Sus scrofa: one gene and its partner. The protein of the gene in region 2 interacts with the protein of the main gene of each other region in a biochemical or structural test. Links are inferred from orthologs where the notes say so. Each region holds a gene or a part of one and is shown on either strand. Other genes may lie near its edges.

Region 1 (4,320 bases), on a different chromosome or scaffold from region 2:
CGTTAACCACTGCGCCACGACGGGAATTAGCGAATTCTTGGATCTCAATGATCTTTAGTCTTTGTTCCTCAAACTAGAATAGTGATTGAATGAGAGATTTTTTTTTTAAATTCAAGTATAGTTGCTGTACAATATTATAAAATTTACAGGTGTACAATGTAGTGAGACACATTCCTAAGATTATACTCCATTTACAGTTATAAAATATTGGCTATACTCCCCATGTTGTACAATATATCCTTGCAGCTTATTTTGAACATAATAATGTGTACCTCTTACTCCCTAGAGTGAGCTTTTTAAACCCCCACATTTGACCTCACATCAATGATCAGCTATCACAAAAGAGAAGCTATGCTCATCAGAGAGAATCCCTATAGGAGATTCTAGGAGAGGTTAGAGTGCCAATAGGTATGTTATTGCAGGACAGGTAACAGCAGGTCTGAACTCACAGGGACTTGGTTTCAGAGGATCATTAGAAAAGTTGGTCACCGCTTCAAATGCAACCATTAAAGAACAGCTGAAACTCACTAATGTAAACGAGGGCTTTATTAGTTCAGTAAGTTGGGACGTCCAGATACAGATCTGGTTCTGGGCAAGGGTGACTCAGAAATTCAAATGGGGCAGTCAAAGCTGCCTGTCTGTGCTGTCAGTCCTTTGGCTCTGCTGGTCCCAGCTTGGCTTCTTTCCTCATATTCCTTCTCCATGTTTAAATGAGATGGCTTTTGGAGATCTCAGGCTAATACCCTCATAGCTTGGAATTCCAGCAGGAAGATGTCTCACTCCCAAAGTTCATAAAACAATCCTGGGAAGACTAAAATTGGTCCTTCCAGGAACATACAATCATCCCCCCCAATCTCCAAATAGGATTGGGGCTACTCTATTAGGATAGCGTGGGTCACAGCCACTCTGTGGCCTGGGTATGTTGGGGAAAAGGTGGAGTTTGAGAAGAGTTTCCCGAAAGAACCACAAAATTAAGAAATCACTGTGAGCAAACAAAAAACATGGCTCTGTAAGACCTTGGCACTAATAATTACGGTAGCTACATCTAAATGCTCCACTTTGTCTAGGGAAATAGATAGGTCTTCTCTACTAGGGCCATTCTGATTGCCTTTCTGGGGTACTTTGAGAAATGGGAAGAATGTACAGTATTGCTAGGTTTCCCATTTCTTTTTTTTTTTTTTCCTTTTTGTCTTTTGTCTTTTTTAGGAGTTCCCATTTCCAAAGACCTGGCCCAATGTCATAACTCTGAGATGGAAGGGCAAGTCCCTCCTACTTTCTAGGAAGTCTTGGGTAGGAAATTAGGTAGAAGACAGCACACCTTTCTCAACTCAGAGAAAGATTCTCCTTGTGACTTTAAAAAAAAAAAAAATCAGTTCTCCTTTCTGGGTCCCAATTTTCTCATCTACATGAAGGAAAGGTATTGTCTCTAAGATTTTTTCAACTTAAAAAAAAAATAGCAATAACAGAACCAAACACACCTGCAATTCTGATCCTGCTGTAAAAACCAAAAACCAAAACCAAAACTTCTCAATGTAGTTCACAGCCTCCCAAGCCAGACACTTGAATGCCCTCTCTGGCACTGAGGAGGGTAGAGCAGGGATGTGAGAGCCTGTGTTCACAGAGCTGGCTTGCAGTGTGTGTACAGGGGCTGGGGCCAGTCTAGAACCACAGAGTGCAACTGTCAGGAAACACCTCCAGGACCACAGCGGCATGGCCTCAGGGCCACAGCTGGGGCTTGACATACACCTCGCCACTCATTTCATAACTCAGCGCCCGCCAGTTAAGGACATTAGGACTGAAGGTCCCACCAGCATAGACAGTGCTAATCTCCTCTGGTGACAACACATAGTCCCACATGTTCACATCTCCAATGTCCCCCACCAAACACTGGTTCTTCTCATACTCCCCAGCGAATGTGTCCTGCTCCTGCCCCAGGATAATGCTTGCCTCTGCCTCCACGGAGGCTCCCTTCTCCAGGCTCTTCCTCACCTTGGGCTTCCCGTCCACCCAGAACTCTGCAATCCCAGAGGCGGACTCCCAGCTGGCACAGATGTGTGTCGGAGCTGCGGTGTTTTCAGGACTCTTGAATAATACCTCAGTCCCACGCACTCCAAGAATATATCCTCTGCCCTTAGACCAAAATATGAGGATCTCGTTAGGTTGTTTTTTGGTGGCATAAGAGAAAACGCTGTACCCACGGGTTGAGGCCAGTTCTGAGTAGATATGGAGACACACGGTAAAGGCCTTGAGTGGCTTCTTTAACTGCGCTTTCAGGGACACGTAGGAATTATCCGACTCTTGGGGAAACACAAAGGCCTTCTTATGCAAGTCTGTGAGATGGAAAACAGAAGAGAGAGGAGAAATTTCTCAAATCACAAAGATCTATTCCTTACATATAGAATTTGGGCTTGAGAAATAGACTGATTGTTCCTCAGTTATGCGCGCGCACACACACACACACACACACACACACACACACACACACACACACACACTCGTCTAGGCTGGATGTTCCTCTGACTTCACCTTCATCGTTCAGATCAAATCGCTGGCATAGCCCCAGGTAGCCCCTACCTGACTGGCCAAAAGCATTGGAGAAGCTGATCAAGACCAGGAAACACCACAACTGCTTCTCCATGTCACTCTCTGCTGCCAGTGGTAACAGAATATGGATTCACCCCCTTGGAGAAGATGCCTTTGGTTGAAAGCTCAGGGACTAGAAGTCCTAGATCCCTCCTCTCAAGACTTGCCCCATCCTGCCTGGATTTATACCCAAGGCAGTAGAAGCGTCTGTGCCACTATGTAAATGACTTCCAATTCTGCTTCTCGCAGTGTCAGGGCTCTGGGAGGAAGGGAAGCAACATAGTTCCAGAACAGAGAAATCGATGTGGGTTATTTATTACAAACTCCTGTGACTACTGAGTCACCTCTGTGACAGGAGAAATGAAGAAGCTCTCCAAGGACTCCACTTTGGCTGTCTATCCTGTGAAATAATGGAAAATCTTATCTTAGTAGAAGAATAGCCATCTGATTGCACATGATAGCTGCAACTCTAGCACCTTCTTCAGCCCAAGTCATTGGGTCATTGGGTTTTCTGGAAGAAAGCGAAGAGCCTCTGGAGCTGACCATCATGGCTCACCCTTTACAGAGGCCTCTAGTTGACAGATTGGGAAATGCTGAAAACAAACATGCCATTTTCTGAGCCAAGGACAAATTTTTCTTAGCGCATTGAATTTAATTTTTAAGAAATCTCTGGTGCAGTGAAACATGTGCTTGATCACAAATATACCATATGCCAATGTGTCTTCATATTTTCTCAATATGTCAGGGTTTAGGGAGGTGTCAGGATGATCTGACCCTGCCATTTCCTTTATTCACAAAATTCAAGTAGTTTCTCCATGATGCCTGGCAATCTTAGTACCGTTCCCTACTGAAATCACCCTTCAGGATGATTATTTTTCTCCTCCTCTCTTCTTACCCCCAAATCTCATCCATTCTTATACTCAGCATTCAAAATTTTTTTTATTTTATTTTTTTGTCTTTTGAGGGCCACACCCTCGGAGGTTCCCAGGCTAGGGACCAAATCAGAGCTGCAGCCACTGGCCACAGCCACAGCCACAGCAAATCGGGATCTGAGCTGCACCTGCAACCTACACCACAGCTCACAGAAACACTGGATCCTTAACCCACTGAGTGAGGCCAGGGATTGAACCTACATCCTCACAGATACTAGTCAGATTTGTTTCCACTGAGCCACGATGGGAACTCCCAGCATTCACTTTTTCTTTATTGAGAAATAGAAGTCATCAGAGAAGAATGACCATACCTTTTGTAGCAGGGGCTTCTAGCTCCCCAGTGTCCATTCTCCACTTCTCCTACAGTAAGAGTGGCATTGGTGGTTGGGCACATGGTCACCTAGCCAATGAATTTCCCAGCCTCCCTTGCAGCTGGGAATGAGAATGTGAGTATGTTCTGGCCAGTGAGATATGAACAGAAGTAAGAGGGATGATTTCCAGGTTGTGCCCTTTAAAGTGAAGGCATCTGCTCTACCTTCCACTTCTCCCTTCCCTTTGCCTGGTGTGAGGCATGATGATAGGAGCTAGAATATCACCTTTGACCACCGTGGGTAAGATGCACGCTGAAGCTGGCAGATAGATGGAGCCTGGATAATTGGTTCTGGAACCGCTATAACGGCTCTAGACCACCTACTCGAACATTAATTTGATCTTCCTATTATAAAGGCTAGCTGATAACCTTACACATCCTCCCACTCCAAGTGTACCAATCTTTCTGCACTTTACTCACATATTCTGCCTCCTT
Region 2 (4,252 bases):
GTGTGTTCTCTCCCAGACTTCTTAGCTGAGTCCTCTAAAGCCTGTAGTGTCAACCAACTCAGTGGAAGTTTGATGAAGGGGAAATCAGAGTAGCAGTTGCTTAGACCATCTGCAGCTCAGCTAAAGGACCAAATGTGGCATGAAAGGGACTCAACTTCATTCCTCATCAGGAAAATTCATATTAAAACCACAGAGAATCCCTGCTTTATGCTCACCAGAAAGACTAAAGTTACAGAGACAGAAAACTTCAGTGAGCGAGCTAAGGGTGTGGACCAACTTACACACTTGCTGATGGGAGTGTCAGTATAATCCTTTGGAAAAATGTCTGGTGTAACCCGTTACACCTAAACACATTCGTCCCTCATGTCCTAATATTCCACTCCTAGGTATGTCGGAAATGAGGACGTGTTTACTGAAAACACTATAGTATAATTTTCATAGCGTCACCTCTGAACTAGAATCCACCCAGATGCCCACCGACAGGCACACAGATAAATACATGTGGTATATTCAAATAAGTGACTATCATACAGCAAGGAGTTAATAATCTCTAGCAACATCCAACAGTGTGGCTAAATAATCTAAACATAGTTTTAGTGGAGGCTTCAAGAACAAATGAATAAATATCTTATTATCTGATGTACACAAAGTACAAACCTGAGCACATCTATTCCCTGTGGTCAGCTGTGTGGGAGGGGGAGAGGCGGGGGGGTGACTGAAAGGGGGTCTGGGGCTTTCCTGAGAGAGTGCTGTTCTTGGCCTTGATGCTTTTACCATGTGTGTCTTCCCTTAGAGTCTTTTTATGCATACTGCATTTCAATACAAAGTTTAGAAAACCCAGCATTTCAATTTCTTGATTTTTGAATGACTAAACTCATTCATGCCTAAGGAGACTGAGCCTATTGCTTCACACATTTTTATCACAATCCTCTAAAGATTAATTTCATGAACTTTCAGGAAAAGCCGGCCCCCAAAGCAGCCAGCACTACATTCTTGGCAAAGTTTTTTCCTGTTGCCTGGGTCTTGATTGTGAAAGTGTTGCCTAACCTCAGGTTCTGTAAATGATTTTTAAAAGAGCTTTTATTTACTTTTTAAAAATCTTCTGAGGTTTACGCACAAAAGATCTGCGTGGGGGTTGAATAACTGGAGATCCAGCACATTCCAAGCACCTGCACACTTCCGACGAAGACCACGCCTGGGTTTATGAAAACAAATCCAGGGCAGGTCACAGCATTAACTTTCAGTGGGAGTGAAGGAAGAATAGGTTCAAACACTGGCCCTGCTGGGGCTTGCCGCTGATTTTTTTTTTTTCCCCCACTCTGCAGAAGTTGCTGATGGGCGGGGCATCTAGCAGTCCCTTTAATTCCAGAGCTGCGTTTCAGTTTCCTTTTGCAGCAAATAGTTTCCTGCGCTTTTCACAGTTTTGAGCAGAGCAGAACCTGACACAGTGTTGAACACTCAACTCCTAGATGTACCCTGAACGGTCCCCAAAATGAGATGTCCAGCAAAGTTTGTGTGGCTAATATTGTGGACTGTTTGTGTTGCAGAAGGTAAGAGTGAAAATAGAGAAGACTTTTTTTTTCTATATTGCTGACATTTGCTAGCGTGGGTTTTTGGTGATAAAAATTTGGTCTAGAAAATGTGATCCAGTTACTGTTCTGCAGCTTAGTGTGTGAGAGGCTTTTGACACTGTTCAGTTTAAAAAAAGATAAGCAGCTTATTCGAATGGCATATCTGATTACTCATAATTTTAATGTGAAATTTCAGAAAATGTTTTAATAAATATTTTTTAAAACTGTAAGATGTCAAAATCATTGCCTTTGTAATTATCGTAAAGTGTAGTTTACTCTTTTTTGCTTAAAATTTTCACCCGAATGCCTTGTGTAGAAGTACTGAGAACTATGTGAACATCCATAGAACCAGAAAATAAATTAGACAGTCAAAGCCTTCAAATCACAGTGACTGGAGTTGTTTCAGATAGAGATGTTAACTCTTCCTAAAGAAAGAGTTATTTATCGTTTACAACTGATATTGCCATGGCCTTAAAAGTCTTGGAGATGAGCGTCACCTGTATCATTAGAATGAAAATATATGAAATTGAAAAAATCGACTATGCAACCTTTATAAAAGTAGCTCAGTTGGGTTTTTTGCCCTATGGCTATGTATAAGCTATCCTAGAAGAACCTTTAGTAGTGACTATGCGTGTAGGCAGGAGTTTCTAATATCAGTAAGACAATTTCTGGATAATTTAGTTCTATCACCTTTTCTTAATGGATTAAATAGTTCCTTCTTGGAGGAAATTTGATTTCCTAGTTCAAGATAGGTAACTAATTGTGTAGTAAATATTTGATGGACTTTTTAAATGTTATCATTATAAATTTCCAATATTTTTCACCAAATCAATACATTTTGATTGATGACTCTTTCAAGTCAGGCTCTAATCAGTGAGGAATATTAACAAATAAAACAAAACGTCTGTCTTTGAGGGACTTTCAATCTAAAACATAAAGACGGATATATTTTTTAAGTTATATCCTTTAGTAATTTCATTTTAGGTTTTCCAAAATGTGCTCAATGCTTTTTGAAAGATAGAGCCTTTTTCAGTTATATATGACAATAAGCTCTTGCTTGATTTTTAGCATGTAAATCTTATATCCAGCCACCTTCTTAACTAGGTATACAGCCATTTCCCTGTTCATAAAACTGTTACAAATAATACTAACTGATATTACGACACAATATACCAAAGTATGATTGTACTGGCAAAGAGTTCTGGAACAATGTTAATCTTACCAATCTCAGCAGACATCCTTTTCTTTAAAGTGTTTTTGTCTTTTCTCGAATTTAGGAATGCTTTTAGTGCCTCACAACTAACATATTGTTTGCCGAGGTCTTATGTAGATTGCATTTATCATGTACAAAAGATTTCTTTTGTTTCTTGGTCATGTTTAAAACTAAGAATCCTTGCCAAGTTTAGTTACACTGTTTCAGTGATGACAAAGTCATATTTGAAATAGAGATTAAAATTGGACACCACAAAGTATAAGTGATAAAAAAATTAATAATAGCGATGTAAACGTCTCACTTACCTAATTGATTCCCGCTAATTTCACTTGCTTTTTTTTACATTTCATCAATGTATGTCTAAAGGTGACATCAGTTTTCTGCTGGTGAATTGGGCATTAGTGCTACACACATAATGGTGAGAATGGCCATAAATCTGACCACTTCCTAAAGTATAACTTTAGTATTTAAAGCAACACTTAAATGCTCATAATTTTCACAAAAATTATGAGCCTCATAGTTTTCACAAAAGCACACACAATGCACAAGCTAATAGAGAAAAAATTATATCACCTTTCACTGGATATAGAACTGCTATTTTATTCCTCATTTACCAAATATTTCTGAAACTAAGTTCGTTGAAATGCCCATCAGTTCCACCGTTGTAGCCCAACCTCACAGAAACTTTACTCAACAGAGTGGCCTTGATCATTAAAAATATCCATATATATGTCAACGTCTGCCTCTGTTTTTGTCTCCCGCGTAGAAATAAGGATGGAATACAGATAGAGGCTGAGAAATACTGAATGGAAGATGAATGCTGAAAGTGAGAAACGGAGAAAAGACAGTTGTGTACACTATCAGCGTCTTCTCTCCTCAACTAGATACTTACAGCATCTCAGCATTTCATAAATGGTCTCTGTGCTGTGCATAGTGAACATTCCTCAAAAAATACTACTTGCTACCAAAAAGGACTAGAGGTCAACATGATAGAATTTATAAGCTCAATTGCCTACTTTCCTTCCCTTTTTAAAAAGATACTAGAGACCTAGTATCTTTGAGTTTAAATACAGTAGGTCGTCTGCATTTAACATTTCTAGTTGTATAGAAATGGAACATGAGTTGCTTCTTTGTAAAAGGCACGGCTGGAGAGTCACCCCAGGCTACTAAGAATCTGGTCAGATTTACAAAGTTTAGAATAACAACCCCTTGGTTATACTACATAGTTTCTGCTTTTTGGAATATCTTGTAACCAAGCTTTTCAGGAAGACCTTTGAGATTCAAGGTCCAGAAAGCATATACTCTGCGAAATTAGCCATGGCCCAGAAATTCAGGGCAGATTAAAAATAAATAAATGAAAACACAGCTGAAACATGTTCAGTACATGCTGGCTATTTGTTTAAAGAAATACGTGGTTTCTAATTCTGAGGTTTAAAGGGCAGAAAAGTTCTTTCAGGACCTGGAATAT

Evidence for each region.
Region 1: the proteins of CFH (region 2) and CRP form a complex in vitro, tested with the Homo sapiens proteins (12 studies listed by BioGRID and IntAct, with this or other methods). The link is inferred for Sus scrofa from reciprocal best matches to the Homo sapiens genes CFH and CRP.

Annotation. Positions count from the first base shown.
Region 1 is NC_010446.5:90,781,260-90,785,579, reverse strand, and holds CRP (C-reactive protein), read right to left. Parts: upstream 2,840-4,320; 5' UTR 2,639-2,839; coding exon 2,575-2,638; intron 2,331-2,574; coding exon 1,717-2,330; 3' UTR 529-1,716; downstream 1-528. UniProt on the Homo sapiens protein: Displays several functions associated with host defense: it promotes agglutination, bacterial capsular swelling, phagocytosis and complement fixation through its calcium-dependent binding to phosphorylcholine.
Region 2 is NW_018085100.1:2,467,551-2,471,802, forward strand, and holds the start of CFH (complement factor H), read left to right. Parts: upstream 1-1,153; 5' UTR 1,154-1,492; coding exon 1,493-1,550; intron 1,551-4,252. UniProt on the Homo sapiens protein: Glycoprotein that plays an essential role in maintaining a well-balanced immune response by modulating complement activation.